4 linked regions of the Diceros bicornis minor genome follow. The protein of the gene in region 3 interacts with the protein of the main gene of each other region in a pairwise test. Links are inferred from orthologs where the notes say so. Each region holds a gene or a part of one and is shown on either strand. Other genes may lie near its edges. The genes, in order: PQBP1, PRKAB2, LZTS2 and NCK2.

Evidence for each region.
Region 1: the proteins of LZTS2 (region 3) and PQBP1 interact in binary tests that used the Homo sapiens proteins (3 or more experiments, as listed by UniProt). The two-hybrid records come from large-scale screens. The link is inferred for Diceros bicornis minor from reciprocal best matches to the Homo sapiens genes LZTS2 and PQBP1.
Region 2: the proteins of LZTS2 (region 3) and PRKAB2 interact in binary tests that used the Homo sapiens proteins (3 or more experiments, as listed by UniProt). The link is inferred for Diceros bicornis minor from reciprocal best matches to the Homo sapiens genes LZTS2 and PRKAB2.
Region 4: the proteins of LZTS2 (region 3) and NCK2 interact in binary tests that used the Homo sapiens proteins (3 or more experiments, as listed by UniProt). The two-hybrid records come from large-scale screens. The link is inferred for Diceros bicornis minor from reciprocal best matches to the Homo sapiens genes LZTS2 and NCK2.

Annotation. Positions count from the first base shown.
Region 1 is NC_080781.1:42,156,948-42,164,396, reverse strand, and holds the start of PQBP1 (polyglutamine-binding protein 1), read right to left. Parts: upstream 3,054-7,449; 5' UTR 2,911-3,053; intron 2,637-2,910; exon of another isoform or gene 2,610-2,636; intron 2,499-2,609; 5' UTR 2,481-2,498; coding exon 2,414-2,480; intron 589-2,413; coding exon 477-588; intron 253-476; coding exon 140-252; intron 1-139. Other genes in the region: TIMM17B (mitochondrial import inner membrane translocase subunit Tim17-B), read left to right, coding at 3,245-3,270, 4,120-4,219, 5,250-5,313, 6,120-6,248, 6,335-6,445, 6,536-6,624. UniProt on the Homo sapiens protein: Intrinsically disordered protein that acts as a scaffold, and which is involved in different processes, such as pre-mRNA splicing, transcription regulation, innate immunity and neuron development.
Region 2 is NC_080743.1:52,464,788-52,472,565, reverse strand, and holds the start of PRKAB2 (5'-AMP-activated protein kinase subunit beta-2), read left to right. Parts: upstream 1-4,560; 5' UTR 4,561-4,703; intron 4,704-4,869; exon of another isoform or gene 4,870-4,960; 5' UTR 4,961-4,985; coding exon 4,986-5,141; intron 5,142-7,778. UniProt on the Homo sapiens protein: Non-catalytic subunit of AMP-activated protein kinase (AMPK), an energy sensor protein kinase that plays a key role in regulating cellular energy metabolism.
Region 3 is NC_080745.1:66,190,012-66,198,170, forward strand, and holds the start of LZTS2 (leucine zipper putative tumor suppressor 2), read left to right. Parts: upstream 1-4,937; 5' UTR 4,938-5,087; intron 5,088-6,521; exon of another isoform or gene 6,522-7,813; intron 7,814-8,159. Other genes in the region: TWNK (twinkle mtDNA helicase), read left to right, coding at 1-5, 330-471, 1,394-1,708. UniProt on the Homo sapiens protein: Negative regulator of katanin-mediated microtubule severing and release from the centrosome. Required for central spindle formation and the completion of cytokinesis.
Region 4 is NC_080779.1:7,989,381-7,997,291, forward strand, and holds the start of NCK2 (cytoplasmic protein NCK2), read right to left. Parts: upstream 3,060-7,911; 5' UTR 2,878-3,059; intron 1-2,877. UniProt on the Homo sapiens protein: Adapter protein which associates with tyrosine-phosphorylated growth factor receptors or their cellular substrates. Maintains low levels of EIF2S1 phosphorylation by promoting its dephosphorylation by PP1.

The sequences.
Region 1 (7,449 bases), on a different chromosome or scaffold from region 3:
CTCTGTGTTTGACCACCTCCCTTGCCTGGGGCTGGGCCTGCCTATCGCACCTGATGCTCCTGGATTCACTATCATTTACCTGATCCCTCTCTGAGAACTACTAGAAGCCCTTGAGGCACCCTTGGATCTGCCAACTCACCTGCATTACTGCTCCTGAGCTTCTTGGCAGATTTGGTAACGACCGAGTTGGGGTCATGTGGGGAGAGCCAGGACACGAGGTCTGTGTCCACATTCCAGTAGTAAGGGAGCCCGCTGTGGGGCAGTGGGAGGGAGGGAGGGATAGAGAAGGAATGTCAGCACAGATGTTACCTCCTTGTAGCCTCAACTCTTGTCTCCCCAGTCTCCGCCTCTACCTGGCCCATGTCAGGACCCCGTGGGGAGGACCCCCAGATCTCTTAACCCGAGGTCAGGGACAGCACAGGAAGGATGAAGTCAGAAGTCAGTTCCCTCCCCCCTGGCCAGGTCCCCAGGCTCACCAGGAAGGGTCGAACACCTTGTACCAGCTTGGTGGCAGGCCCTCCAACCGGGTGGCCTCATAGTCCACAGGGTCATCGTCATAGTCCTCGGCAATGATCTCTTCCTCTGGTTCTGGCATGGCGGGGGGAGGAGGAGAGCAGTGAGGAGCAGGGGGATTCTCATCCTACAGTTAGAGCCTGGAGAGACACTAGCATTCACACAGACCACGTGTGTGTGCCAGGTCTCACCGGCCCTGGCAGATACTGCTCACATTCCAAAGCCACTTATCTGGATATCGGGATTTACCAAAAACTGTACTTAAATCTGTTCTGTTTCTGGGTTCACATAAGATATGTTACCCAAAGCTATTACCCAAAGCTATCTGGTTTCAGAGTTTAGATAGGGATTCACCAACAAATGTATCCATATTTATTCAGTTCCTGAGTTCAGGTAGTATGTGACACCACACTATCCAAATCTGTTTGGATCAAATGAGTTTGAACAGCAAGGGGTTTATCTGAAAATATGTCCAAATCTATTCAGCTCCCAAACTTGGCAAATATGGGGTTTCTGACGCCTGTATATTGAGTAGCAAGAGTTTGGATACCAAGGGATTTATCCAAACACTGCTCTGAATCTATTCAGTTCCTGACACATAGTAAGCATGCAGCAGTTGTCAGTTCATATCAGTAAAATTAAAAGGGTGTATATTGTCAGCCCAGTAGCTGACCTTCAGTAGGCCTATCACAGATTTCAGCTGCAGAAATAACTAACAATGAAATGCACAGGCATACCTCAGAGAGACTGCAGGTCTGGTTCCAGATCACCGCAAGAAAGTGAATATTGCGATAAAGTGAGTCACACGGATTTTTTGGTTTCCCACTGCTCCTAAGAGTTATGTTTACACTATACTGTAGTCTATTAAGTGTGCAATAGCATTATGTCTAAAAAACAATGTATATACCTTAATTAAAAGTACTTATTGCTAAAAAATGCTAACCATTCTTCAGCCTTCAGCGAGTCGTAATCTTTTTGCTGGTGGAGGGTCTTGTAAAAAACACAGTATCTGCGAAGCACAATAAAATGAAGTATGCCTGTATATGTCAGCAACAGCATAGTGCCTGTCACACAGTAGGCCCAAAATAGATATCAGCTATAATCATCAGTATTTTTAATAAGATATATATACTCTCAGCACAGGGCCTAGTACTCAATAGGCTTAAAATAAATATCAATGATCATTATCAGTATTATTAACCACAAGATCTATGCCTGGCACACAGTAGGCTTATAATAGATGTCACTTATCAATACGGTGAAAATAAGATGTATTTTCCAGTGCCCGGCATACTATAGCTCAAAATAGATGCCAGCTTTTACTATTATTGACAAGGTATAAATATTAGCAGCAGCAGCACAGTAGGCCTAAATGATAGATCCTATCGTTATTTTATACTGTTAACCATAATGTGTATGCCAGGCACTTAGTAGACCCAAAATACATGTCAGCTATTAATGTGAACAATAAGGTATGTATCACCAGCATAGTGCCTGACACCATGGGAGGTCTGAAATAATGTTATGAGTATGGTAAAGAACAAAGTATTAGCATCCTGCCACTGTACTTGGCGCACGCACAGGAGACTGCAAATGTCAGCTATCTTCACTATTAGATACTTTGTAACCACTTCCATAGATTGATTGATGGATTGAACCTGGCATACAGTAGGCCCAAAATAGTCATCAGCTGTCAGTATTAAGGATGAAATATCTATCTCCCCCATGCCTGGCACATGGTAGGAATGGGTGTCAGGAATCCCCATTTTTAACAGTGAAATGCCTGCCACCCCACTGCCTGGTGCACAGTAGGCCCATGCTAGTTATCAAGTGGCAGTCTCAACAACAAAGTGCCTCTCAAGCCTGGCACATGGTAGGCCCATCTGCTCTTAGCTCTCACCGGGCTCCAGATGTTTGAGGATGCCTCTCTTGGCCAAGCGGGTCTGCAGCGCAACGGGTAGCGGCATAGCGGGTAGCAGACAGACCTAGGGACAGATGGACAGACTAAAAACCAGCTCAGATGAGGACTCAAATCTGGAGCCCGTAACCAAACGCCTCCCCCGAGCATGTACTCATCTGGACCCCCACCTACCCACCTGCAACAGTAGCTGGGTGGACGGAACCTAAGCGGGAGAAGGCGGAAGAGATAGATGGCAATATCACCAAAACTCTCACCAACCCTCCCCTCCAGGCCGGGTGCTCCATGACCGGGTTCCTATCCCAGGCCCAGGCTCCACCCATAGCTGAAGGGGCCAGCACAGCTCCCCCGCGCCCCAGAAATGGGTTCACCCAACGTCCCCCAAAGACTGCCGGGTAGGAGGAACCAAAGCGCTGAGAAGGGGGAGGAGAATGCAGTACTTCCTCCCGCTCCAAAAAATGCGCCCACTCCGACGTTACCAATACAGTCACGCGGGTAGTGGAAGGCTGTCAGACCGGCCGCCTCTCTCTTGTCGCCCCTTGATCACCAGGACCCCACAACTCTCTTCTCCCAAAGCACAGAACGAGGTCCTCTCTCCCCGAGGCTTGGAGTAACTGGATGACGCTCAGGCTGCGGTGAACAGACGACGCAAGCCGGGGTGACCAATGAGAGCGCGCCCTTGGCCTGACGTATGGCCAAGCGACCCAATCGTCGCCCTGGAAGAGTTGGACAGCTCGGGCGCCTGTGTGCGTTTACAGTGGGGGCGTGGCCCGGCCGGGGTTTAGCCAGACTGCGCGGCAGGACGCCGGCGCCATGGAGGAGTACGCTCGGGAGCCTTGGTACGGCGATGGGCACAGGCATCGGGACTGTTGCTGTGGTGCCACGGCCAGCTGTGGGAGGCGGGCGGGGGAGGCACCGGCCACACAGCGCCACATCCCAGACTCGGGAGACGTTTAAAATCTGTCTCCTTTGCTCCCCTCCACTTGATTCCTCCCACTCGGGCTCCGTTAAGAGGGGCCCCAACTGTATACCTGGAAGTGAAGGACGAGCCACCCCACGTTTCCCCTGACTACGTATCTCCCAGCCCCTCTTTGTTAACGAAAAGACACGCTGGTCGAATCCATTCCAGCTGGGGGGTGGTGTGTTGAGCGGAAATCCCCAGGGTTACCACGCGTGGTTTTTCCCAGGTCGCTGTAGTTAATGGGGGCGGGGCCTGGATGAGCCTATTCTGGGCAAGGAGGGGGTGCTGGATCCTCCCCACGGTCGGCTCTCGGTTTTTCCCATTCGCGCGCGGTTAAAAAAGGGGGAAAGGGCGGGGCTTGATTGGATGGGCTCGTTGTCGGAGAAGGGGCTGTGACCCTGTACTGCTTTAATAATAATACTAGCTAGTCAACACTTCTATAGCGCTTGTTTAAACGTGCCAACTCTTTGCTTGTATCAATTCATTTAATCTTTGATAGTAGTAAAGCTGATTCCTTGGTTGACTGCGAAGGGGAGGGTAGGACTGGGCAAAGACTAATATTTTTCCCGTTTTGCACTATTTCTTGCTTAAATGAGGGGAAAAATAATCTCATTATCTGAAGTGCTACTTCCCTTTCAGGTGACTTGGTTTCTTCCAGTTAGAAAGTCCATGTGACATGGCATGGGGGAGGGCACACATTAACCCCATCTCCCCTTCCCGCTTGCAGCCCATGGCGAATTGTGGATGATTGCGGTGGAGCCTTCACTATGGGTGTCATCGGCGGCGGAGTCTTCCAGGCCATCAAGGGCTTCCGCAACGCCCCTGTCGTGAGTCCTGGCCTTCCCTGGGTGGTGCCAGGATCCTGCCCTGTCCGCTTGGGATACTGCTCTGAAAAGTGCTTGGAGCTGCCAGTCACATGCACTTATTCATTCTGGTTCCTGATCGCCTGCTATGTGCCAGGCTTGGCTCCAGGATGAGGGGTTTTGGGAGAACTGCAAACATGGCCTCTGTCCCTCACCCCGCACCCAATTGGAGCTCCTCTGTGGAAATTTTGTGCTGTCAAAATGGTCATCGCTAAATCCTAAATGTGTGTGCAAAGATTTTACCTAGAGGCAGATTCTGGGTCAGAAACCTGGATAGAGGGAAGTGACAGGAGATTAATTGGCAGAAGGAGGGCAGCCTTAAAGTTGAGAAAATGCTTTTAATTTAACATAATCAATTCTGTCTCTTTCTCTGATACCCTTCCTCCTGGGAGATCTCATCAAATGTCATGGCTTTAAATGCCATCCATTTGCCAGGGTCTCTGCAACTGATACATCTAGCCCTGTCCCTCCCCTCATCTCCTGGAACTCTCTTTCCTGGATCTTTGCCTGAGTTTCTCCCTCTCATCCTCAAGGTCTCGGCACAAATGCCCCCTCCTTAAAGAGGTCTTTCCTGACCCCTCAGCCACTACCATACCTCTTCATTCTATTTCTTCTAGGGTGCATAGTGCTGTCTGAAGCTATTGTTTATCTGTACCCTTGCCCAAGATCTGTCTCTGCCACTATGATGTGAGCTCTGAGACGGCAGGGGCCAGGTCTGCCTTATTCACTGCTGTATCCCTGTGGACAGCATGGTGCCTGGCACATAGGAGCTGAGTAATCATTGAATGAATGAATGAGAGCTTCCCAACCCAGCTCTGAGAACACCTATGGTGAGGTGCTCCCCAGTCCCCTTGTTCTTGGCCTCTTCTCCATGTCTCTACCCTTGATACCCCTAACAGGTCTCCCACCCCCTTCCCTCTGTTAAAAGCTAGAAACCTTGTCTGCCAGTCGCTTTAACCCTGCCCTGACTCCCCTCCTCCTCACTTTCTCCCAGGGAGTTCGGCACCGATTGAGAGGTAGTGTCAACGCTGTGAGGATCCGAGCCCCCCAGATTGGAGGTGAGAGGCTTGGGGAGACATAGGAGATGTGATGGCAAAGTTGGGGGTGGTTCCTCCTTTGGGTCTAGACTGCAAGTTGGGGGTCCATATTCTAGCCTCAACTCTGCCTAGGACTTCCTGGGGGAGTGATGTTTCCCAACAATTTAATATGAGTGAGTTCTGGGGTTTAAATCCAGGCCCTGGCTCTTCCTTGCTGTGTGACCTTGGGCTAGTGGCTTAACTTCACTGAACCTCATCTGGAACACGGGGATGATGATAATAACTACCTCAGTCGTTTTGTAATGTATGTAATTTACATGGTACTTACTAAGTGCCGGTTGTTCTGCTGAGCACTTTAATAATATTAACTAATTTGAAATTTCAGAAGTCAAATAGCATGCAGTGCCTAGATCAGGCCCTGGCACACAATAAGGCCTCAGTAAACATTTTAGCTATCATATTGTTAACGGGCTTTCCTAACCTCTTCCTTCTCCATGAAACCAAGATCAGAATTTCAACTCTTTGTGGTAGTTGTGAAGATCAGAGTTGCTTTGTTCAAAGCCATATAGAAGATAGACCTCTTTTGAACACTTGTAACTCGCTCTGAAGGGGAAGGGAGTGTTGATGGCGATTATAGACAGCTTGAAGAAGGAGCTCCCACAGGGACAGATGGGGACTATCCCCACCTCCTTTGCTCTCTGCCTTTGTGTCTGGGTTTTGCTCCCCATTCTTTGCCAGAGCACTCAGGCCTTGGAAGTCCCCAGACCCTGAGCCGTGGATTCTCAGGATTCCCCAGGAACACTAATTAGGCCTTGGTCCCCCTGCAGGTAGCTTCGCGGTGTGGGGGGGCCTGTTCTCCACCATCGACTGCGGCCTAGTACGGCTGCGGGGCAAGGAAGATCCCTGGAACTCCATCACCAGTGGAGCATTGACCGGGGCTGTGCTGGCTGCCCGCAGTAAGTGCCCCAGTCCCTGGCCCCAGCCCCTTCCACCCTGTTCTGCCTGCCCTCACCTCTCTCTCCCTGCCTTCTCTCTCCTCCAGGTGGCCCATTGGCCATGGTGGGCTCGGCCATGATGGGGGGCATTCTCTTGGCCCTTATCGAGGGTGTTGGCATCCTCCTCACTCGCTACACTGCCCAGCAGTTCCGCAATGGTGAGTACCTAGCGAAGCTGATCAGGGAGAGGTGGCAAATCCTCTGCCTAGCCTCCTCCACTCACCTTTACCTGGTTCTCCCCTCTCCAGCACCCCCGTTCCTGGAGGACCCCAGCCAGCTGCCCCCTAAGGAGGGTACCCCGGCCCCAGGCTACCCCAGCTATCAGCAATACCACTGAGGAAGTGACCGCCTATCACCGCCACCGTGGGAGCGCCTCCTCGGTTCCCTCCCCGATGATCTACCTCGAAGGGAGGGCTGGCTCCCAGTTTGCCCTGGGACCTTCCAGAGAGGGCCTCTACTCTGCTGCCTTGTCCCAGGGTGGGGGTGGGGCACCCCAGCTGCCCTGACGGATAGGTCCCCTTCTCTCTCAGGGCACCCCAGCCTCACACTCACATGTAACAAGCTCTCACCCCAGTCCCTCTTGTGATGCCCTGATGAGTATTTAAAGCTAGTTTTGAAATGCCTATGTATGTACTCCTTGAGCTAACCATGGGAGCCCCTCCTTAGGATAACGGGCAGAGCCCTCTTCAGGGGCTGGGAAGCCCTAGGATTTGGTATCACACATGGAGTGGGCTCTAGTATATGTTCGTGGGATGAATGAGCAGGAGGGAGGATGAATCAAGATGTGAATAGGGACATGAATAATGGTGTGTGGGGGCCAAGTGATGAATCATAAGCAGACAGAGGAACAGGCTTGGGAAAGAAGTGAGTGAACACAAGGATTGCCGCGGTAGAGGGGGTAGCTCTGCACGTTGCACTCCCAACCCCCACAAACGTGCACACCAACACCCCCCACCTCTCCCCCTGTGCCCCCATTGCCAAGGCTGACAAATCTGACCTCACAGTTAACTGTCTGAGTACCAGTCACCCCATTTGTGAAGGTAGTCCCCCTCTGTGTGGCCTCACCATGGACCTGGGATGGAAGCAAGGGTCAGGGAGACCCGGCTTCCTTGAAGGTGCCCTATGTCAGTTTCCTCTTCTGCACTATAGAGATGCTTCTGTT
Region 2 (7,778 bases), on a different chromosome or scaffold from region 3:
AGGAAGAAGTAAAACTATCACTATTTGTGGATGATATGATTTTATATACAGAAAATCCTGAAGACTCCACCAAAAAACTATTAGAACTAATAAATGAATTTAGTAAAGGTGCAGGATACAAAGTCAATATACAAAAATCTGTTGTGTTTTTATATACTAACAACAAACTATCAGAGAAATTAAGCAAACAATCCCATTTACTATTGCATCAAAAAGAATGAAATACCTAGGAATAGATTTAACCAAGGAGGTAAAAGACTTGTACACTGAAAACTATAAGACACTGATGAAAGAAATTGAAGAAGACACAAATAAATGGAAAGATATTCCATGCTCATGGATTGGAAGCATTAATATTGTTAAAATGTCTATATTACCCAAAGCAATCTACAGATTCAATGCAATCCCTATCAAAACTCCATTGGCATTTTTCACAGAAACAGAACAAACAATCCTAAAATTTGTATGGGACGACAAAAGATCCCAAATAGCCAAAGCAATCTTGAGAAAGAAGAATAAAGCTGGAGACATCATGCTCCCTGATTTCAAACCATATTACAAAGCTATAGTAATCAAAACAGTATGGTACTGGCATAAAAACAGACAAACAGATCAATGGAACAGAAGAGAGCCCAGAAATAAACCCATGCATATGTGATCAATTAATTTATGACAAAAGTGGCAGGAATATACATGGGTAAAGGACAGTCTCTTCAATAAATGGTGTTGAGAAAACTGAACAGCCACATGCAAAAGAATGAAACAGGACCACTATCTTATACTATACACAGAAATTACTTTGAAATGTATTCAAGACTTGAACGTAAGACCTGAAACCATAAATCTCCTAGGAGAAAACACAGGCAGTAAGCTCATTGACACTGGTCTAGACGATGCTTTTTTGGACTTGATTCCAAAGGTAAGGGCAACAAAAGCAAAAATAAACAAATGAGACTATATCAAGCTAAAAAGCTTCTGCATAGTAAATGAAACCATCAATAAAATGAAAAGGCAACTTATTGAATGGGAGAAAATATTTGCAAATCATATATATAATAAGGAGTTAATATCCAAAATGTATAAAGAACTCACACAAGTCAATAACAAAAATCAAGCAATTTGATTACAAAAAAAAGGAGTGGAGGATCTGAATGGACATTTTTCCAAAGACATATAGATGGCCAAGAGGCACATGAAAAGATGCTCAACATCACTAACTATTAGGGAAATACAAATCAAAACCACAAAGAGGGGACAGCCTGGTGGCGCAGTGGTTAAGCGCGCGCGCTCGGCTTCGGCGGCCCAGGGTTCGCAGGTTTGGATCCCAGGCACACACCGATGCACAGCTTGTTAAGCCATGCTGTGGCGGCGTCCCATATAAAGTAGAGGAAGATGGGGATGGATGTTAGCCCAGGGCCAATCTTCCTCAAGAAAAAAGGGGAGGATTGGCATCTGATGTTAGCTCAGGGCTAGTCCTCCTCACAAAAACAAAACAAAACAAAACAAAAACCCCACGAACAGATATCACCTCACTCCCATAAGAATGGCTATTATCAAAAAGAAAAGTGGGGGCCGGCCCGGTGGCGCAAGCGGTTAAGTGCGCGCGCTCCGCTGCGGCGGCCCGGGGTTCGCTGGTTCGGATCCCGGGCGCGCACCGACGCACTGCTTGGTAAGCCATGCTGTGGCGGCGTCCCATATAAAGTGGAGGAAGATGGGCGCCGATGTTAGCCCAGGGCCGTCTTCCTCAGCAAAAAAAAGAGGAGGATTGGCGGATGTTAGCTCAGGGCTGATCTCCTCACACACACAAAAAAAAAAAAAAAAAAAAAAAAAAAAAAAAAAAAAAAAAGAAAAGTGTTAGGGAGGATGTGGAAAAAAGGGAATCCTTGTACACTGTTGGTGGGAATATACCAACAACAAGTATGGAGGCTCCTCAAAAATTAAAAATAGAATTATCACATGATCCAGCAATCTCACTTCTGGGTATTTATTCAAAGGAAATGAAATCAGAATCTCAAAGAGATTTCTGCACTCCCATGTTTATTGCATCATTATTCACAATAGTCAAGATATGGAAACAACCTAAGTGTCTGGCTAGAGATGAATGGATAAAGATACAATGGAATATTATTCAGCCATGAGAAAGAATAAAATCCTGCCATTTGAGACATGATGGAGGGATCTTGAGGGCATTATGCTAAGTGAAATAAGTCAGAGAAAGACAAATGTATGGTATTACTTATATATGGAATTTAAAATAAAGTTGATCTCAGAGAAACAGAGGGTAGAATGATGGTTGCTAAGAGTTGGGAGGTGGGGGAAATGGGGAGATGTTAGTCAAAGGGTATGAACTTTCAGTTATAAGATGAATAAGTTCTGAGGATCTAATGTATAGCACGGTGACTATAGTTAATAATACTGTATTGTATAGTTGAAATTTGCTAAGAGGGTAAATCTTAAGCGTTTTCACCACACACAAAAAGGTAACTATTTGAAATGACAAGTGTATTAATTAACTTGATTGTGGTAATCATTTCACAGTGTTTATTAAATCATCACATTGTACACTTTAAATATATATAATTTTATTTGTCAATTATACCTCAATAAACGTAGAAAAAATTAAAAATAAAATCAATGGTATTTGTTTTCAAAAATAGTTTCTGCAATGGTTGAGTAGTGTCTTGTGTATAAACTTGTATCTTTCCTCTTGCTAAAGCTAATTTTTAAAACACTATAAAATTGTTTTAATTTTTTCATTGAGGTATAATTTTCATACAATAAAACTCACCCTTTTTAGTACACAGTTCTGTAAGTTTTGACAGACACATAACACCACTACAATCAAGACATAGAACTGTTTCATAACCCCTCCAACATTCCCTCCTGTCCCATCGTAGTCAACCCTTCCTCTCACCCTCAACTCCTGGAAAGCACTGATCTATTTTCTAACCCTAAGTCTTGCTTTTTCAAGAATGTCATATAAATAGAGTCTGGCTTTTTCCACGTCTCATAATGCCTTTGAGATTCATCCACATTATTGTGTGTATCAAGAGTTTAATCCTTTTTATTGCTTAGTATTCCATTTATGCCTATACTATATTTTGTTTATTGATGCACCAGGTGAAGGACATTTGTGTTGTGTGCATTTTGGGGGAGATATGAATAAAGCCACATGTGTTTTGTACAAACAAACATTTGTGTACAGATTGTGTGAACTTGTCTTTATTTCAGGTGAATAAATACCTAGGAGTGAAATTACTAAACTGCATTTTAAATGTATGTTTAACTTTATAAAAAAGATCAGATTGTTTTTTGAAATGTAAATCACCAAGATGAGATGTCATACCCATCCCTGATCACAAATGGGGATGGAACCTGGAGAGTGGAGATGGTAATGTAAACCTCCAGATGCCCAATCTAACCTATCATCCAGTTCTGTAACACCAATATACTCTTTCCCCATTCCCACATCCTCACCTCTCAGAGGAAGTAGAATACATTTAGCAGTGTGCATAAAAGCTTATTGTTCTGTGAGGCCTCCCATGCTCTCTGTTATTTTCCTCTATCAGGCAGAATGGCTGATCCGAGACCAGCGGCAATGATGTCTGAGATACGGTAACATCAAGAGAACTTCCACCACTTACTTTGCCTATTACCTCCTTCTTTTCCTTCCCTCTGGAAGGAAAGATAGAACGTTGATGCAACAGCAATGAGTCTAAAGGGAAAAATTATACTGGCATTGACTAACAGATCTTGTTTCTTTACCTAGTAGGGAATGAAACATGCATATAATTACCCCTATTACAAAGTAAGAATTAGTAAATACCATGAGTTCCATTAATTATGCGTAAAAACCTGGATCTGTCCCAACCAGAGGACTGTCTTTGCCCTTTTCCGCTTTTAGTGTTCCTTCTGATGTTTTTGTTGTTGCTCTCTTTCTTGAATTGTACTTCTTTTGGGATTGCTCATTGCATATGCTGTTTCTTAGCCTAAAATAGCTTTCTCCATCTTCTCCTTAGACTAAAATTTCTCTCCTAATCACTCCTTCTTCCCAGGGGCCCCAGTAGGGCTGACTGCACCCCCAGCACTTAGTTTTAACCTGGAGCAATTACCACTACTTCCTTCTGCCTTCAGTGGGAGGTCTGTTTTCTTATTCTCTATAGGAACCCACCTCTCCGGTCGCCTATCACAAGGACGCTGCCCAGAAAACGTTCTGGTGAACCTGAGGCCAGGGAGGGGGCCGGGAAGAAAGCAGCGCTGCTCCTCCGGGTACCCGAGCACCCGGCACCCGAGCACAGGGAGGCCGCCCCCAGTGTCATTCCGAGGCCATCTAATCCGCAGTGAGCGCCCAGTGGTCAACACACGAACGGCTCCTGGAGCAGGCTCGCCAGGCGTGCCGGTGAGCCCGGCGCGCCGCTAACTGTGCAGCTGGCGCCCCCGCCTGACGCTGGAGGCTGCGCGCGGCCGCCCACCATCGAGGCGACGGCGGCTAGAGAGGCCGGCGGGCCCCGGGCGCCGCGGCGGCGCGGCCGCAGGGTACGCGCGCCGGGCGGCCCCGCGCCACTGGCTTTGTAGCCATTTTAGGAGGAGACACGGTTTGCTAGCTGGGGCGCGGCTTCAACTTTAATAACTTTATTGGTGGCGTTATCCGTAGAGCAGGCGTCGCGCCAGTGGCTGGGGGAGGAGGGCACGCCTCGCGGGAGGTGATTGGGGGTGGGGGCGTCCCTGGGCAGGGAACGCGGGGATGCAGGAGAGTCGCCGAAAGCGGGTTTCCTGAACAGCGGGCAGCGAGGGAGTCGAGGGTTTCGGGCACTCCTGGAGGCCAAGGGAGGGAGGGGACCCCGGGGCGCCGCTGCCCTGGGGCGGGGATTCCCTTGCCTGGGTCCCCAGGGGCGGGGCCGGGGGCGCCCCTGACGCTGCCACTGGGGTGTTCCCCGCTCCGTGTCGTTCCCTACGGCAGGTGGCCTCCGACTCGAGCTGCAGCCATGGGAAACACCACCAGCGACAGGGTGGCCGGGGAGCGCCACGGCGCCAAGGCTGCGCGCGCCGAGGGCGCCGGCGGCCACGCTCCAGGCAAGGAGCACAAGATTATGGTGGGGAGCACTGACGACCCCAGCGTCTTCAGCCTGCCGGACTCCAAGGTGAGCGTCCCCACGCCTTCAGTTGGTGGCGATGCTGCAGTGGGCTGGGTGTCAGGGCGCCTCCTCCCTTTCTTGGTTCTTTCTTATCACACTGACTTGGGTTACAGTTTTTTGAATTAAAGGGATTTTTTGGAGACGAGATGTTGGATGGTAATTCCTCTTGCGGTGCTGCCTTAAGATAGGATAGAGGCGGAGTTCTTGTTTTCCGACTAATCTGTTGGCCACATTTTTAGGATTGGGACAGTGGACCCCCCCCCCCCTTCGAATACAGGTGCTCACTTCTAGACTATTGGTGAATTTATAGGTTATAACCCTGGTGGAAAACTTCAGAGGGTTAGGTTGCCTGAGTTGCTAACCGTAGGCGGCAGTGTCTCAGATTTGCCCTGAGGTGGTTAAATGAATTTCTTTTTCCTGACAACTTCTACGTATCAGTATCCTTTTTGCTCCACTGGGAGCTCAGCACTTCTGATCCTCTTCCCCTTTGGCATGGCAGTGAGCAGCAACCACTTGCTTATTTGAATACTTTCTCCTAATCTTGGGGACAATAAAGGACATCATTTCGCTGACTGCTCCGTTTTCATCCCATACTTTATAGTTGTGGCTGAGCTTGTGCTTCTTTCACACTCAGCTGCTCCTCAAGTGGGAGAGCAAATGATTCCAGGATTTCTCCACTTCTCAGTCGTACTTCATAATGTTACATGGCTGAAAACTGACAACCCACCGCTGCCCTGAAGACCTTGCTCTCAATTCCAAAGACTGAGGAAAGTGGCAACTTGTATCCACCCTAAAGAAAGGATAGATGGAGCTAACAACAATGTGATTACCATCTGAATGTTTCTCATCACTTTTAGAGCTGTCAGCATTAAATTAATTCCTCCAGGTAGTCCAACTGGGATGAAGTAGAAAAGTGGAGAGATTGAGGAGATTGGGGTGTGTTTGACGTTTCTTGTCACTTCATCCCTTCGCACCCAACTTGGGTTTTAGAAAGTATATAGAGAATGATTTGCCTCGTTGGTAGCACATGATTTTGGATTCTGTTTGTTTTCTTGGATCCCAATTGAGAACATAATCACAGAAAGAGAAGCAAGGGTGATTGAAAGGACCACTTCTTGGTATTTCTTCTCCATTCCTTTTTCCTTCTCCCACTTCAGGACTACTTCCTCATCATTTGGGCTGTCTACCCAGCCATCTGAATTTACTTCTTCAAAACTTTCTCAAGGTGATCGACCTCATTGTATTTTTACCCTTTTCCTACATTGATGACTCAGGATTTAAGTATAGTGTATTTGTCAAACTGTGACCGCAGTAATCAGTGTCCTGAATAAAAGCCAAGTTGCTCTATCTGAAATGGAGCCTATTTTGGATCATTCTTACTCTTACCTCAGTCTTGCCGTTTGTGAAATAAGAAAATCAGTTCAGATAATTCCTAAAGTCTCTTCCAAATCTAAAATTTTGTAGTTCTCAATCTACTTTCTTTACTTCTTCCCTCAATGTTTTATTTGAACATTTTCAAACTATAGTTCTAATTGTTTTGTCTCTTTTCCTGATGATTTTGCTGACTATTTACCTTGGAGTAAACAATCTTTCTGCTAGTCAGCTGCACTCATGCCTACCACAGAAATGTCATGTCATATGTGGAAGGGCTTCCTTCCAAAGCTAGGCATATTAATAGTTTGTAGCTTTCAACTTCTAAACTGAAAATACTAAATCATCAAAGTAACTGATAGAAACAGTGGCAGTGGAGCCTACATTGCTTCCACTGCCAGCCTTCTTCAGTGGACTAGTTCAATGGTTCTCAATTGCACATTAAAGTTACCTAAATTTGTTTAAACACTTCATGGAAAATTTGAAACATTTTCCATGTTTCAAAGTAGAGAGAAAGTGTAATAAACTTTTAAACTTTTAGTTTAAACAATGATCAAATTGTGAATGAATTTATATCATCTATACCCCAATCTACTCTTCCCCCACCAATTATTTTGAAGCAAATTCCAGACATTGAATATTATTTTACCTATAAATATTTTAGGATATATCTCTAAAGATGAGGTTTCTTTCTTTGTTTATTTTAAAATAATCACAGTATTATTTTTCTGAGAAACTTTTTAAAAATAGATTCCCAGGTCCTATATCCAAATCAGAATCTGAGGGTTATTCTTAGGCATATGTGAAAATTTCTGTAATTCTAATGGAGCCAGTCAAGCCTCTTGCATTGCTTTAAGAATATGGAGGTCAAGGTTTTCTCTTAAGCCGCTTCCTTACATAATGTGAAAGTCCCTTCAATTCTCTTTCTCCGTGTACTTTGGATTATGCTGCTACTGATGTCTCATAGTGTAGTTTTGAGGGATATTGAGAGACAATATGGAAGGTAGATTACCTCAGCCATTTTGAAAATAAAGCCCAAATGAAGAAGCTAGCCCTTTTTTTTTTTAACCTTCATTATTTTATTTGGTAATATTTTGACTTGATATTGTACACAGTCTTATTTAGCAGAGTCATTTTAGCCAATCTAAAGTGGGGATCAGCAAACTTTTTCTGTAAAGGGCCAGATAGTAAGTATTTTAGACTTTGCAGACCATACAGTCTCTGTCACAGCTACTCAGTTCTGCTACTGTAGCATGAAAGCAGCTGTAGATA
Region 3 (8,159 bases):
GACAGGTGACATCCTCCTCTTGTCTAGCTGGAACCCACTCGAACACACATGTCTTCTCAGGCAGCTGGCCTCTAGGCACACATGCTGTACTCTCTTATTTTCTGATGTGTTTGCAAGCACACACCACCCCATGTGTATTTTTGTCTTTATAGAGGTGTGGGGTGTGGCGGCGGGAGGTATGGACAAGGATCTAAGAGTGAGTCCTTGGGTAGAGGGAAGTAGAGTGGGTTGTGGTTTGTGGGGAGATTTGAATGAATCAAGAGTATGTGTATGTTCTTGTCTTTCTGTGTGTGTCCAGTAACCTCTTTGCTTTGTTGGGGTGAGGACAGGATTGCAGCTCAAGACTACATCGTTGGGGCCTTTCGGAAGTTTGCAACAGACAATAGCTGCCATGTGACACTAGTCATTCATCCCCGGAAGGAGGATGACGATAAGGAACTGCAGACAGCATCCATTTTTGGCTCAGCCAAAGTAAGTGGCCTTGAGAGGAGCCCAAGCTTTGGAGACTAGAGGGGGCAAGTGTGAGTGGGGACAGCCCTCATTCAGCCTTAAATCATTCTGACTCTCCTTCTGGAAAAAGCAGGAGGCAGCTGCCTCTGGGGCCATGACATGAGGAATACAAGGGCTAGGAATACAAAGGCTGATAATAGTTGGTCCTTTGCCCTCCTTGCCTCCTAGGAGCTCACATCCTCTAGTGGGGAAACAATGAGACAGTAATTACAACTCAGTATTATAAGAGCTATGACAGGCATCACAGGTATTTGGGGAGCAAAGAGAAAAGATATCTGAGTCAGCCTGGGACATCCAGGGGACTTCCTAGAGGAGGTGTCAACAAAGGTTGGGTTGAGTTTTGGCAGATAGTAGGTGTTAACCAAATAAATGGGAGGACCTTCTGGATAGCAGGACCAGCCTGATCCTGGAGCTTCCAGTGGTACACTGAGTGCCTATTACATGCCAGGCCTAGGCTGGCCACAAACTATATACAAACTATGTCCCACAATGAAACAAACATGAAGAGAATAACACAGAAAGGGAAAGATGGTGGTGCCTTCTTTCAAGAATGGTCTCTCTGATGAAGTGTGACATTTAGACTGAGACCTGAATGATAAGAAGCTGGGTTTGAGTGGGGTGGCAAGCTGTGGAGGAGAAGTGTTACAAGTAGAGAGAACAGCGTGTACACAAAATCTGGGACAGCAGCAAGATGGTCAAGGAACTGAAAGACTCAGGTGGGCCCTGCGTTGTGGTCAGTATTCAAAGAGCGTTGGTGATGGGGGAGGGGGCATATTTCTCCCTTCCCCCATTCGTGCTGCTCCTCCCTGCACCCTCAGCCTTCCGTTTTGCTTCTCTCTTGCGTCTTCTCACTGCTCCTTCCTCCTCTTCCCCCTGTCCTCAGGCAAGCCAGGAAGCAGACAATGTTCTGATTCTGCAGGACAGGAAGCTGGTAACCGGGCCAGGGAAACGGTATCTGCAAGTGTCCAAGAACCGCTTTGATGGCGACATAGGTGTCTTCCCCCTTGAATTCAACAAGAGCTCTCTCACCTTCTCCATGCCACCAAAGAGCAAGGCCCGGCTCAAGAAGATCAAGGACGACAATGAGCTGGGGGCCAAAAAGCCCTCTTCTGGCAAAAAGGGGGCTGTGCCCCAGAGCTCTGAGACTGGCCGGGCCCCCATCCCCTCCCAACCAGACCCCTCCAAGCCTTCAAGGTGAAGGCAGTGCAGAGCTGGACACTGACATGAGCCTGACAGGATAGGCTAGGGCCTAGACTCTTGGCCCTCTGCTTGGGCTGCCTCTGTCCTGTGGTCCTGAGCTAGGGCCCTTCTTAGTCTGAGGGGCCTAGCCTAGGGCAGGGTTTCATAGGGAGAGAATTCAATTTAGCAGATATTTGAGAACCTACTGTGTGCCAGGTTTTGTTCTAGGTCCTGGGAGTACAGCACTGACAAGAGAGTGAGGTCCCTGCTTCCACGGAACCTGCAGTCTGGTGGGGGACAAGCAGTGAACAAAGACACACAACATAATTTTAGATAGTGAAAATGCTATAAAGAAAATAAAATAGTAATGTGATAGTTCTTACAGGGCTAGTTTAGATTAAGGTCTGAAAAGGTGTCTCTGAGCAGAGGACATTGAGCGGGGGCCTAAAGAACGAGGATTGAGCCATGTGAACATCTAGAGAAAGAGGGATCCAGGCAGAGGGTAAAGTAAATACAGGCAGAGGGCAAAGTAAATACAGAAGCCCTGAGGTGGGAATGAACATGTTGAGTTCAAAGCAGTGGGGTCAGGCCCCCTGGACCTGGAGGGGAATAGGAGACTTCTTGCCAAAACTCCAGCCTAGACTTGCAGAGCCAAAGGGTGACATGGTGGGTACCAAGCTCCTCTGCTCCCCACTTTGGGGCCTGCCATGAGGTGGTACTCACTACCATTGGATTCTAGGTGCTCGGCCCTGTAATATTTGGGCCCCAAAGGTGGGAGAGCCATGGAAGGAAGCTTTGAGCCCAGAGTGCCTGCCACCTGGACACTGATTCCATGGTATGCTGCCTCAGACCACTAGAGTAAATGAAGTCATGACTTTTTGTAAAGACTTTTCCAGTTTTACAAAAAACTCTTTTTCCATTGCCTTTGTTTCTGTGCTTTTTCTTATTTGTCCACCAGGTGTCTCCCCAGTCTATGACTGGATTTTCCTCTCACTTTGAATTGGGAGTGGATGGGTCCCCAGTCCCACCTCCAGTCTTTGAGCTGTGTACTCCCAAAGAAGCAGGGGCGTTAAAGGGCCTTCACAGACACATCCCCTTACACCTCTTCTTGGCCTACGGAAGACAGGGTGGTATCTCTTTATCCGTATCTTCCCTGAGGATCTCCATGTGATCCCTGGCAGAGGTGTGGGTCACTGGACCACATGCCTAGGCCCTGCCTGACCAGCTGTCCCTCTTTTATATGAGCCACTCACTGACCTCTCAAAATGTGGACTTGGGCTTGGCATCTATTTCCCTCCTCATGCCCTCTCAGTGTTTCTCTTTTGTTAAGTGCCCGTCAGAACGCCTGGGGCTCTTGTTAAAAATGCAGAACCTAGGCCCTACTTTTCCGCCAACCCTGACACACAGACTTTTCTGATTCTGGAGGTTTGAAGAGGTACAGGATTCCTCATTTTTAACAAGCTGTGAAGGAGACTGTAAAATAAATTATCCAGAGACCCTGTCAGAAATATTCCTAAATGATAACACTTTGCCACCTCACTTCCTCTGATATCCTAAAGTCCCAGTTTCCCTTCAGGTTGGCCTGGAAGAGTGGTGAGAATGCAAGATGTTCTGAGGGGGCCCGGAAGAAAACTTTTGTAAGGGGAGGGGCGTGCTTTCCTGCTCCCTGCAAGCAGGGTCTGCCTTATCCAGGTCTCTCTGTTAACCTAAGAGGGGTTTTCTGGGACCCTGTAGAAGGACATGGGTCTCTGTTGTGTCTGAGAACTGTGGCTACAATTGTTTCCTGAAACAGAGCCTGGAGCAAAGCTGTTCTCTGAGGAAGAACCTGGGGGGAGGGAGGGTGTAGCTCCTCCAGGGCCTCCTCCTTGGGGGTCTCTCCCAGACTGGCTGGAGCCAGGCCTCCTAATCCCTCAGTAATCATTCCCAGCCGCTGGCTGGTCCAGGCCTCATCCAGGGTCTACAACATTGAATGTCAGCCATATCTTCCACATGCATACCACCAGGTCAGTCCTACCTATGAGGACATGGGCTCCACATTCTGGTCTACCGAGAATACCTGGTGTGTTCTCAGGAAATCCTTTAGGGGTTTCCATTAGGGGACCTTTGTGAGGTCTGTGTATGAATTGGGGATAGAGGGATAGATACACACTTGCCTGTTTGTTTTGCCCCACCCTCCTAGCAGACACCCCCACACAGCACAAACCAGAATGATGGGGGGGAGGGGAAGCTAATGCTCCCCCAGCCCCACCCCCTACACAAACACATTCCATTCCACACCTGTCTTAAACTCACATCAAGATTAGCCCAAAGTATATTAGGAGTCCCTGGAGCCTAGAAAGCAGTGAGGGATCCCTGGGTCCTGTGTGAGGTCCCTAGGAGCCACTATTCCTGTACCCAGTCAAAGTGGATTGAGGCAAATTACCTGCCTATGGATATTAAGAATCTCCCTGAGAGCTCAGGAAGGGCCTGGCTGAGTGGGGTCCAGCTGGATCTGCAGCCTTCTCCTCAGATTCAGTGTCACACTTGGCTGTGAGGGGGCAGCTGTAGTCTTCCAGCAGCTTCTTTAGTTAGGATGGGTTTGAGAAAGGACTAAACTCACCGGTCTTCCGCTGCCCAAGTACTCAGGCTGGAAATCTGGCCCTGATACTTGCAGACGTCCCAGTCTGTGCCTTCTGACAGGCCGCCTTGGGTGCCATGAAGGGAGGGAGCCCTAGGTGCCTCCCTGCAATACAGGCCAACTTCCTGTTTGTGCCTGTGGGTGGAACTTTATGAGTCTAAAGGAAACCTGGCCATGCTCTGTGGGGGGCCAGACCTGGCAGGCCTGCTCACCTGGGCAGACACCTACTCCAGGGGTGGGGGAGCCGCTGGTTCTACCTGGGCAGCCCCAACCAGAGATTGGGGGGGGGTCTGTTTTGGTGAAACCCGAGCCTTCTTTGTCTGCTTCCCAGGGTTTTTCCCTGTGTCTAGTGAGTGGGCTTAAAGTGGACCAGGTTTGGCAGTAGTAAAGTGGTGGCAGTAAAGTCTTATAGCCGGCTTGGTTAGGGCAGTCAGGTAACTTAGCTCTCGGTCACGTGCTGCTCGCCCCTTCCCCAGGTCGAAAGTCAAATCCAGTAAACTGTGAAGTCAGAGGCCAGAGGGGCAGCCTCAGGTCACCATCGAACTACTGCCGGGCTGGGTACAGGGTCGGCTGTTGAGGGGGTGGTGAGCAGACCACTCCCCTCCCTGGGTCGGGGGCGCGGCCTCAGCCGCCCCGCCCCGCTCCACCAGGCCCGGCCAGACGGGCGCCCGGAGTCCGGAGCCCGGAGCGGGCTTGAGAGCCGGCGGATCCGCGGCGAAGAGTCGCCTGCGCTGGAGCAGGACCCGGGCAGGAGCTGGAGCCGCGGCGCAGGTGGCGCTGGGTGAGTAGTGGGGCCGCGGAGGTGCAGGATCTCCCGCCTCTCGCACATCCCCGCTCCGGAGCGAACTTTCCCGGTCTGGGGAGACTGGGGGTTGGGGTGAGGAGGGGGTCCTCACTCTGGGGGGCGCAGGCGAGGAGTCTGAACAGGGAACCGACACAGAAACTCGCACTGACGGGCCCACACACGCGTGTACGCAGACCCACGCGTGCACTTGGGAAAAACGAACACACGTGCACTTCGGGAAGAACGCGCCCAGTGGGTTATCCTTGCAGTCCCTGGAGCAGCGCCACTGGCGCGCGCGGACCCCCAGCAGACAGGGCGCTCTGCTGTCGCGTACTTGACGGGGGTGGGAGAAAAGGGCCGCCCCGGTGACCGCCGACGGGGGCGGGCAGGGTGAGACATCTCCGGAGGTTTCTGCTTCCCAGCTGCCCGCAGGTGAAGACTAAGACATAAACAAGCGCCGAGCACGTGATCGATTCGCAGACAAGTGGGCTGTGCACCGCCCCCCCCCCCCCCCCCCGAGTCCAGGGCAACTTTGCAAGGTTCCATGCCGGGCAGTATTCCTTTCTCCGCCTCCCCCAGAAGTGGGAGCACAACGCCCCCTGGAGTTGGGGTAGCGCAGAAGGACGGAAAATTGTGCTGGGATGGGGTTACCTGGGCTCCTCGCCTGCCTTCTCCCCAATACGTTCTCGGTGCCTTCCTCCCTGAAGGTATCGGAGGGGGGCGCTATTCTTGATGGCAGTGTGCAACAGCCCCCGCCACATGCCTCCAGCCTGGGGAGCAGCTGCCTGAGCGCCTGTGGGTCCCCTTCCTACTACCACTCCTCCTTGCAGAACTAGGAGCTCCTCCCCCCAGTGCAGGAGCGGAAAGCCCACTCGTGCAAGAGTGGGAGTCCCCCGTCCCCAGAGAATGCATGTGTGTAAACATCCCCTCAGTACCAGAGTGGGCCTATCTCCCTCCGGTAGAAGGGAGGGCGAACCCCCCTCCCCCCCAGCGAATGAGGGAGTGGGCAGCGGTCCTCGGCCTCCCTCCCCACCCCACCCCCACCCCTACACACACGCTGAGCCCAGCTGCTGCCTGAGCTTCTGGGCAGGCTGCCAGAAAGAGGAGGAGGCTCCTGGTGCCCCAAGAGGCTGGGATCAGGGCAAGGCCAGAGAAGGGGGTCTCTACTTGGGAAAGGGTCTCAGTCTGCTTTCAGTCTGTCTCGGGGTGAGCCTGAGGGTGGCTGGGCTGTGTTTCCCTTTCCAGGGAAAAAGAAAGAAAAACAACCCTTTCCATAGAGCTAAAAATAGAGCTGAGAGCTGGCCAAGGCTGTGGCCTGGAAGGGGGGGATGCTTCTTCCTGGGGCAGAGGAGCTCTGGCAGACCTTGGCCCTGGGGTGGGTGGTTAGGGGGCGGGAGGCTGTCCTTGTCCAGGGGTGCAGGCATCAGCTGACCTGACTGGGTCACAGAGACCCCTATGGGGAAGTCTGTGTGGTAGAATGTTTGTGAAGTATGTGTATGTGTAAGAAGTTGTCTGTGTGACTATGAATAAGACTCAATGTGTGAAAGATGATTAGAAGACTAAGTGTATTTAAGATTGTGACTGGTTGGGAAGGACTATGACTTGTGAAAGACTGGGCACAAGGTGTGTGACACCGAGTGTGTCTCTGTGAGTTAGCCTAAAAGACTGGAAAGAAGGAACACGGAATCACGTGATGGATGAGACTGTGATTGTGGCCGTGTGAGCCTGAATGTGGGAAAGGTCGTGTGGGTGTTAAGAAGCTTGTGTTGTTTGCGAGAGGGTGAGGATATGTGTAACCCTGAGAAGACAGGTGGAATGTTGTCCACTGTGAGGCTGCTGTAGGTTTGGACTTTAGGTTTGGACCGGCTCACTCCAGGGATTTTTGGGGGCTAGGGCTGCCTCTCTCTGGACAATGACCTTTCTCTTAGCAAATGACTCTGGGGGAAGGTCTAGGAGCACAGAGCCACGCCTGGGGCCGGCCTGGGCTGGCGGGGGAGAGGGTACAGCGCTGAGGAGTCGGATAAGGGCCCCCAAGGTTGCGGGGTGACTGGGTGTGTTCTCTGGATGGGCCGCCAGGGGGCGCCGCCTCCACAGATCCAAGTGTGCCTCCTCCAACCCGCTGTGGGTGGGGCAGGCACAGCCCGAGCCTCTACCCCTGACCTGAGATGGGGCGCAGGGCCCGGGCAGCCGGGGACAGTGGGGGGCAGCTGACCCTCGGCCTCCCCCTCTGGACTCCGAAGCCTGTGTCTTGGGGGAGGCTTCGACTAGAGGAGCGGAGGGGGAAGGGCGGCCGCCGCGAAGCCCGGCCCTTTGTGCTCGGACAATGATCAGCTGCCGCTGGCCCCGGGGCCCGCGTAGGGGTAGAGGGTGACCCGCCGCCGCCAAGTCCTGAGCCGACCGACCCCTAGACACACAACCACCGGGCCTCGGAGGAACGGACTCTGAATGCAGCCGTGCAGGCCTTGCGTGCGCCCCGCCGGACAGGCGTGACGCGGGCTGCTTGCGCGTGTCCGCCCCCCGGGGCGGGGACGCCCCTCGGACCCCTCCCCCGCGTTGCACCGCCCACTCGGGCCGGGTGGGGGTTGGCCCCGGTGGGGGGCGCCGCGGAGGCGGGGCCGGGTCGGCCTGGCTGCTCCGAGTGGCCGCGCGCGGGCTGGAGCCGGGCGGCGCGCCTGTGGAGCGCTGGGGCGGCCCGGGGCTGAGCATGGAGCAGCGCGGCGGAGGTGAGGGGGGGCCGGGGCCGGGGCCGGGGCTGGGGCTGGGAGGCGACCTGGGGCGCCCCCCACTTCTGCGCGGCGGGGGTCCATTGGGGAGGCGGCATTCCACGGCTGCCCCCACTTTATGGAAGCGGAGGGGGGGTGGACTCTGGAGGGTGGGTTGGGGGCTCCCGGCTTCCTGTCGCGGAATGGGGGCTCGTGATCCCAGACTTGATCCCGCTTGACTGGTCCTTGGAGTTTGGTGAGGGGGAGACTTGCCCCAACTCTTCAGTCCCCAAAACAGGTCTGCGGGAGCCCGGACCTGGCCAGACCTCTCTCGAGCCCTGGGTGAACCCAGCCCTCAGCTCCCCCC
Region 4 (7,911 bases), on a different chromosome or scaffold from region 3:
GCCTGTGTATGTGCCGGGGGGAGGGTATAACTTGCTGATGTTGATTATACCTTCAGAAATATACATACTTTGGGATCCATTCAAAGTGAAATGCAGGAAAAGAAAAAAATAGTCTAATTTTTTAAACTGTGTTACTAAATGGCCTAAAGAAATAAAAAACTATTTTTACTTTAGCTGCATACTTTTGATAACCCATTAAAAGGCTGTCTTGACCTTCTTCTAAGCTGCTTTTCAAGCATTTAACAACATACATGATATGATTTTTAGCTTAGGCCCTTTGAAATGCCATGAAAGGTTTCAATCATTCATCCTAAGAAAGAGAAACAATTTGGAAGCACCACTTGCAATCCCTCTAGATGGGAAAACTAATTTCCTAAGCCTCTTGGATGAGTTGTGGGGAGTTTCCAGTTCATTTGTGAAAAAAGTTAGCTTACTAGTTTTCCCAAACATCATCCACCGCCCTGCCCTGCAGTTCCAGCAAGCAATCTTCAGCTCTTCAGTCAATCAGCCTCATCTTTAATGCTGGAGGACCGTGTCCACGAGCCCCCTCTCCCCCAGTGCACACTGAAGCATGTGTGTCCCAGAGAGCAACACAGCCTCATGGCCAGGGCAAATGAAGCTAACGCAAGTGATCAAGTAAAGGACTCCAGGTCACTCCGGGCAATCAGGGAGTCTTTAGGGTATTTCGAAAGGTTATCCAGTTTGTGCACATACAAGGAAGATTTCCGGTGTATTTAATATGGATGATAGCGCGTTTCCAAACACTGTGTACTTAAGACCTACTGTTTCTTGGAAAACTTCAATAATCCCCCAATGCAAATGACAGAAGCTGGGAATATGACAGGGTCAAACAGATCAGGGATGAAGAGAATTTAAGTATATAGCATGTAATAAAGCAAAACACAAAGCCTGGAAAACTGAGTACAGCTACTTGAAATGCATCTTAAACAAGCCCCGCCCATTTTAAAAGGGCCAGTTTCTCCACAAGTGGGCAGAGGGGGTGAGGGAGCAGTCAATTCTCCAGTGGCAATTTGTGACTCAATGTCATCCTGCGTTCCAGGATCAATCCTGTTAGTGTTTATGTAGCAGCTGAGAAGCTCGCGGCCCAGGTGAGGCCTCCAGGAGAGGAAGCTGAGTTGGGCTGGGCACCTCCACAAGCTTACCACTGCTTACAGCTCTCAATTTCAGCCTCAAGGAGCTGCAGCCAGAAGATCGCTAAGATCCAGCCACTTTGTTCAATCAAAAGTACATCTAACCAACCTCCAGGAGAGAAACACTAAGAGAGGATTTTCCCTGGTGGTCACTTCTTCACAAGCATGATTAACACTGGTTTCTCAGGAAAGCCCTGTTCCAAATACCTAAAAACCTTCATCTACAGCCCACTCTCCCGGTGAAGCCCACTTCTCCAGCTGCCCACTGACCACCATTCTCTCTATATAAACGCCACACATGCTCTAGTCCTGTTACTAATATACCCGTTTATCTACCAACACTGGGTAAGTGAACTAAGGGAGTGTTCAGTAGCAAAGTTTAGATGTTTTGATAAATTAAAGCAGCCCAGGTTAATTTCATTTTCAGTCACTTTAACACTTGAAAAGCACTGTTGCTAAGGATATCAAATGCAGTGGTATGAAACACACCCCAAATTACTCTCATTCCTACCAAAATCCCTTCCTTCCGAAAAGCCGGACTGGGCCTAGACCAGGAAGGAGCTCCCACACCTGTGGGTCCGCGGGAAGCCATGCCCACGGGCCTCTCGGGGTTCAGTCTTTTTGGGGGGAGTCAATCGAAGGAGTAGGCATGCGCGATGTTTTAGGCTCCCCAGGCCCAGCCCTTGGGCCTACTCATCCCATTATGCAGACGCAAACTTTGCAGATTCAGCCCTAAACCTGTCGGCAAAATAAACAAAGCCACATAAAGGAGAAATTGCCAACCTGAATTGTCCGAAGTGACAGAGGCCGACTACACACACGTTCCTGCTTTGTCCCTGAAGCTGTTACAGGGCCAAAGTCAGGTGCCTGGTGTTCGTCAGCCAATGACCCCCAGCATCCCGCGTGGACCTTCCAAGGCGATCGTTACTGTTTACAAATGAAAGCGCTTTGCAAATTAAACCCCTCCACACGATGCCCCGATAACTGCGCTCACAAGGGAGTTACCGTCAATACCTTAAAAGTCACACACCAAATTCTTCCAGAACCACTTGGTAGTTAAATCACTCTGAATAAACCAAGAGGGCAGAGCGATTGTGAGAAACTTTCTTTCGGGTGGCTGTAAGAGAGTCCTGTAAATCTGGGACAGGACGCAGAGCCTGAAACCCGGCACAAAGCGCCCTTCGCCGAGGCGAGGACCTCCTTTATGCGATGTGACAGCAGCTTTGTGCGGGGTCATAAACAGTCCAATAAACACAGTAAGTTCTCCGGGCTGCGCTCGGCCTCCCGCGTCCCTGCGCTGGGGCCGGGCGATCCCCGGCCATTCCTCCCGGGGACTCTCGCCCAGGCGACCTCGGCCACCGCACGGCCCCACGCCGGCCCCCGGCTCCGCGCCCGCGGCCGGCCCGCAGGCCGGGCGCTCCCCGCGCGCCCCGGGGTCTCTGGTCCCGGAACCCCGCGCCCAGGCCGCTGCCTTGGCGGCGCCAGCGCCGACCCCGGAGGGTGGGGGCTGGGAGGGCGGCGGGAAGGTGCGGAGCCGGGAGGCGCGGGCAGTCCGCCGCCACGGGGGCCAGGCCGCGGCGGGGCCGAGGGCACCAGGGGGGCGCGAGGGACCCGCTCCCGCAGCCTCCTCCCGGGCGCGCCCCGCCCCGCGAGCCCCGCCGCGCTCCAACTCTGCCGAGCGGCCCAAGTTGGCGGCCCCCGCCCCGGGCCGGCCGGCCGCGCTTACCTCGCCGAGGGCCGCCCGCCGAGGCCGGAGGGCAGCGGCGCGGGTCCCGGGGCGGCGGCCGCACCGCGCCCGCCCAGGCGCCGCTCTTTGTTTGCGCCGCTCCCTCCTCCCGCCGCGTGGCGGACGCTGCCGGCCGGGCGGACCCCGCCGGCCCGGGCGCCCGAGCCTCCCCGCCGCCGAGTCCTCCCCGCCGCCCGCCGCCCGCTCGGCCGCGCGGCTCCGGCCTGACGATCTCCGCGGCGGCGGCGGCGACCCCTCCCCCGGCGCGCAGCGCCCGCCCCTCCGCGCTCTTCCTCCTCCTCCCGCCGCTCCTCCCCGGCCGCCGTGACACCGCCCAGGGGCCGGCCCAGGCCCGTGCGCCGGCGGGGGCCCGAGACCCCCCGGGGGGCGTGCAGGCAGCTCCCGGGCCCGCGCGGCGGCCGGGCTCGGGAACGGCGCCCGGAGGGGACCGGGCTCCGCATGCCCTGCCTGGGGGGCGCGCGGCCGCCCGGCCCCGGGGAGACCCGGGCGCCAGGGGGAGGAACGGGTCTCCGCTCCCAAAACTGCTCGCACGGGGAGTAGGCGTCGGGGAGGGGTGAGGGGACAAGAGACGAAATAAAGACAGCAACTTCCACCCTGAAAGGACTGGTGGGTGATCTGTCCATCCTCTTTTTGTTTGATTTTCTTATCACGGCGCTCTAGTTGTTTGGCGACCGCCCCCCTCCCGGAAGCATTCCCACGGCACTCTGAGCAAAGCAGGCCTGTTGTCCATCAGAAAAGTGACTTACATAAAAATGTCACTTCCTCTCTGTAATTGCTTGTGAGCATTTTTATTTATTTGCCTTGTATCTATTTACTTTCCCAACCAGACACTCTTACTCCATCTTTCCTGTTGGAAGCACTTCTTAAGACGAGAGGAACCCAACCTCAGCTGCCTCCCCTGCGTCGTGTCCAGCTCAGGCTCACCCACAGGGGCACAGTCCTGTAAGGAGCTGCGGGAACGTGGCCCCAGAAGGAGTGGTCACTAGTAGTGGGACTGGTCTGGTCACCTCGCCACACGTGGTGGCTTACCTGTGAACAAACTTGGAAGATTAAAACCCAATTGTAAGGGGAAAGACACAGTTTCCTTTTCACAGGCCCATGCATCCAGATGTCTCTTCTCCAACTTCCTTCCCATATGGCCTTCCGGAAAGGGAAGCCTGCTATCCAAATGATTCTGATTTCCTGGCGGAATAGCCTGGATCCATGTTAATGAGATTCTTTCTTAGGCTCCCGGCTTCTCATTATTATTAAGGCAATAACAGTTTATCCAAGGTGACAAGGCCGTGTCGTTTGAATGGCTCACCCCTGCCTTGTTCCCGAAAGGAAGTATTGAAGGAGGGTAACTAGAGCCAGTATAATTTTGAAGTCATAGTTGAGGGTGTGGACTATCTGCTTCTTCAACTGTGGAACCTTGCACGGGTGTTTCTTAACCTCTCTAAAATCTAGCCAATGGAGAGAGAGTATTTACCTCACTCTGCTGTAAGTCCCTGGCACACTAGCTGGAAGGTCACTAGCTGGAAGGAGGTGCAGGGCACTGAGCAGGGATGGGTCAAAAAACAGGGAATCAGAACAGCCTCCTTCTCTTTGACTTGGGAAAGAAGCTACCTCAGTTCATCCTTTCGTGAAGATTTTGTCTTACTAATAAGAAAAGCAGAATTATAGTAAATGGTCTGGTCCAATTTTAAATTACTTTACTCAAAATAAGTATAACAACATTGACCTGATTTTTAACTTGTCTGCTTTGTAAACTTTCATTGAATCATGGTTCTGGAACCCCTCTTCCGTCTCTGATTCTTTGTAAGGTCACCAAGGACGTTCTCTATCTGAAACCCAATGTCCGTTTCTCAACCTTTATCTTAATAACGTTTCTGCTGTTTCCTGAAATGTGGTCATCTTTTCATTTATCTAACAGCTACCTTTCTGACCTGCCCATGGCTGTTCCTTGTAGGCCATGTTGTTCTCCCAGCATCTAACAGTAATATCCCAAAGACTTTGGCCCTTTGTTTTTATCCTGATGTGCACCTTTTTTTTTTTTTAAGAGAGTTGATCATTTTTTGTATGCTTCCAGTCTGGATATTCAGTGATTAACTCCCAGATCTGTAGCCTTAGGGAGCTCCCCAGCTTATCTGCCATCCCTCTGAGCAGCTCAGCCTCTCTTCAATACCACCAGATTCAGAATGAAACTTGCCTGCTTCCTAAACCAGCTCCTCCTCCCACGGTCTTAGGCTTGGCCAAGAGTCTACCAGGCATCTCAGCTCTGAAAGAAAAAATCATTGCAATTTGATTTCTTCCCTTCCTCTCTCCAAGCTTTCCCCAAAGACAGGAGAGGACCCTAGGTGACCTTGGGATCCCTCTTATGATCTCATACATCCTCATGATTCTGAGTCCTGGTGATTCTGAAACATCTCTTGATGGTACCTTCATTTCCATTTCCAATGTCACCATCCAAATTTTACCTTATTACTAATAATACTTGTGTACCTTTTTTGAATTCTTTACATATATCATCTGTAACTCACACATGATGGTATTATCCTCATTTTACAGATAAAAAAACTAAACTAGTAAGTGAAAGAGCTGGGTGAGAACTGCACACACTCACCTCCAAAACTCCCATTCTTTCCACTGCACCCGTTGCCTTCCAAGTGGCCTCCCGTTACTCACTTCCTCCCACCCCCAGATTCATACTGAACATCAGTGTCTTCCTAACTCTCAGAAAAATTGCTTCTATCTTGCCCCTCCCCTCTTCAAGAACTTCCCATGGCTCCCCACGGCTCACCACAGTTCCTCAAAAGTCCTCTGACAGCAAAGGACTTGAGCCTTTGCTCCTAGGAGGGCTGAAGAATTGAGCTCTAAGATGCCTATGTTCGCTTCCTGGGGCGGCCTTAATAAATTACTTCAAACTGGGTGGCTTGAAACAGAGAAGTTTACTCTCTCAGAGCTCTGGAGGCGAGTCTGAAATCACGTTGTCAGCAGGACCATGCTCTCTCAGAAGGCTCTAGAGGAGAATCCTTTGCCTCTTCCAGCTTCTGGTGGCTCCAGGTGTCCCTTGGCTTGTGGAAACATTACTCCAATCTCTGCCTCTGTCTTCACACGCCAGATCCCCTGTGTTCCTCTCCCCTTCTCTCTCATAGGGGCATTTATCATTGGATTTAGAGCCCACCCTAACCCAGGATGATCTCATCTTGAGATCCTTACCTTATAACTTCCACAAAGACCTTTTTTCTAAATTCGGTGACATTCACAGGTTCCAGGTGAACATGTCCTTTGGGGCTACCGTTCAACCCACTACAAGACCCAGCATGGGCGAGACATTTCCTTGAAGCTGATGGTTTATCTAAAAATGTAGAGGTTTCTGCATTCTACTCCATTAGTATATCTATGTTTGTTTTACTATTGAAATTTCTTCAGTAATGAAGTATTGAAAGTGCAAAACGTATAAACTTTTGCCCCCAAATCACATCGGCATTAAATCCTAAGATTTCCCTTCTAAAGTCCCTGGAACTTAGTCCTGCCCTAACAATCTTGTTGTTTACCCTGCCCTAATATAAGCTACTTGCTTCAGTCCCTCTGCTTTCCCCACTGTGTCCCACTTAGTCACACTAATCTCCACCTCCTATACTGGGGACACAGCAAGGGATTTCTCATCCCCCTCCTCTTCAGAGTTCCATGCAAGCCTTCCTCTAACCCTCTCCTTGGAGTCACAGAGAACACAAGCTAAGGTTGAGGGCGCTGTCTGAGTCCAGCTTCAGAGGCCCACAGCCTGCCTGCAAGCCTGTGACTTGGGATCATCTAACCTCTCCGGGCCTCGGGTAGTAATAGTGCTCTCATAAAGAGTTGTGAAAGTTAAATGAGATCATGTAAACATCTCTCAACTATGGGTTTGGCACATGGTAAATACTCACATCAGCTTTTCCATGACCTTCTATCTTAACCGTCAGTACAGTTAAACATTTCTAGTATATTTCTATTTGTAATGCATTATAAGAGTCAATTCAGAAGAAACAAGGGTAAGTGGAGTTTTTAATCTCACAGGAAGGGCAAGACCAGTATGCAAATACCATAATATAAAGCTAAATATGCAAAGTACCAAGTGAAATATGTTCTGAGAATCAGAAGAGGCTGTAGGTTTTATGAAAGCTGGAGGCATTAGGAATGGACCTGGAGAGATGACACCTGGAAAGCTACTATAATTTGGCTGCCCTACATCCAGCCCCCTTACTGGTTTTAGGAAGGCCCCTGTCTGACCTTGGTGGGAGGCAGAGTAGGCTCCTCCCTCTCTCCACTCCCAGAAGCCCTGTGAGAGTGAACAGCCTGGGACTGGCCAATAGAACCCTCCCACCCGGGACTTTGAACCTGGAGAGGGTGGCCAAAAGGAGGGAGGATGAGATTCAGTGAGCTTTTGCTGGAAGAATCCCAGAACTTCCCCATAGAGGTCATTAACCTGCTTGGTTCTCGCCCCTTCTCCTAGCTCCTCTAGCCCCGCTGTGAGCTACTTATTATTCTTTGAAAAATTCCTATTCTGCTTAAGGTAGCCAGAGGCCCTTTCTTGCAACCAAAACCTCTGAATGATGCAAACTATAGGATTTTGAAAGTTGAAGACAGAGAGGAAATTCCCAGTACAGGATGCTTAGAACCGTGACGACAGAGAGGGGGAATGTGGGAGAACTCCATAGGAACAGGGAATGCCCTCATTTGCCTGAATGCAGCAGAGGATGCCTGCAGAGGATCCTGAGGAGATAAGACCTGGAGATAGTAGTTACGTGTGGACATCATCCGGGCTTGGCGGCAGGGTACCTCATTTGGCGCATGTCCCACAAACGCCTGGAGGTAGGAAGCACAGTTAGAAGTCTGCATTACTTAGAGTTTGGATGTGGGTTGCTGCAAAGATGTTGGTGCCGATATCAGAAAAGTTGGGTAAACTGGTTTGTGAGGGATAAACAGTTCTATCTTTTTACATTCAGGTAAATTTAATGAATATTTATTGCCAACTTACTACATGCAGAGTGCTCT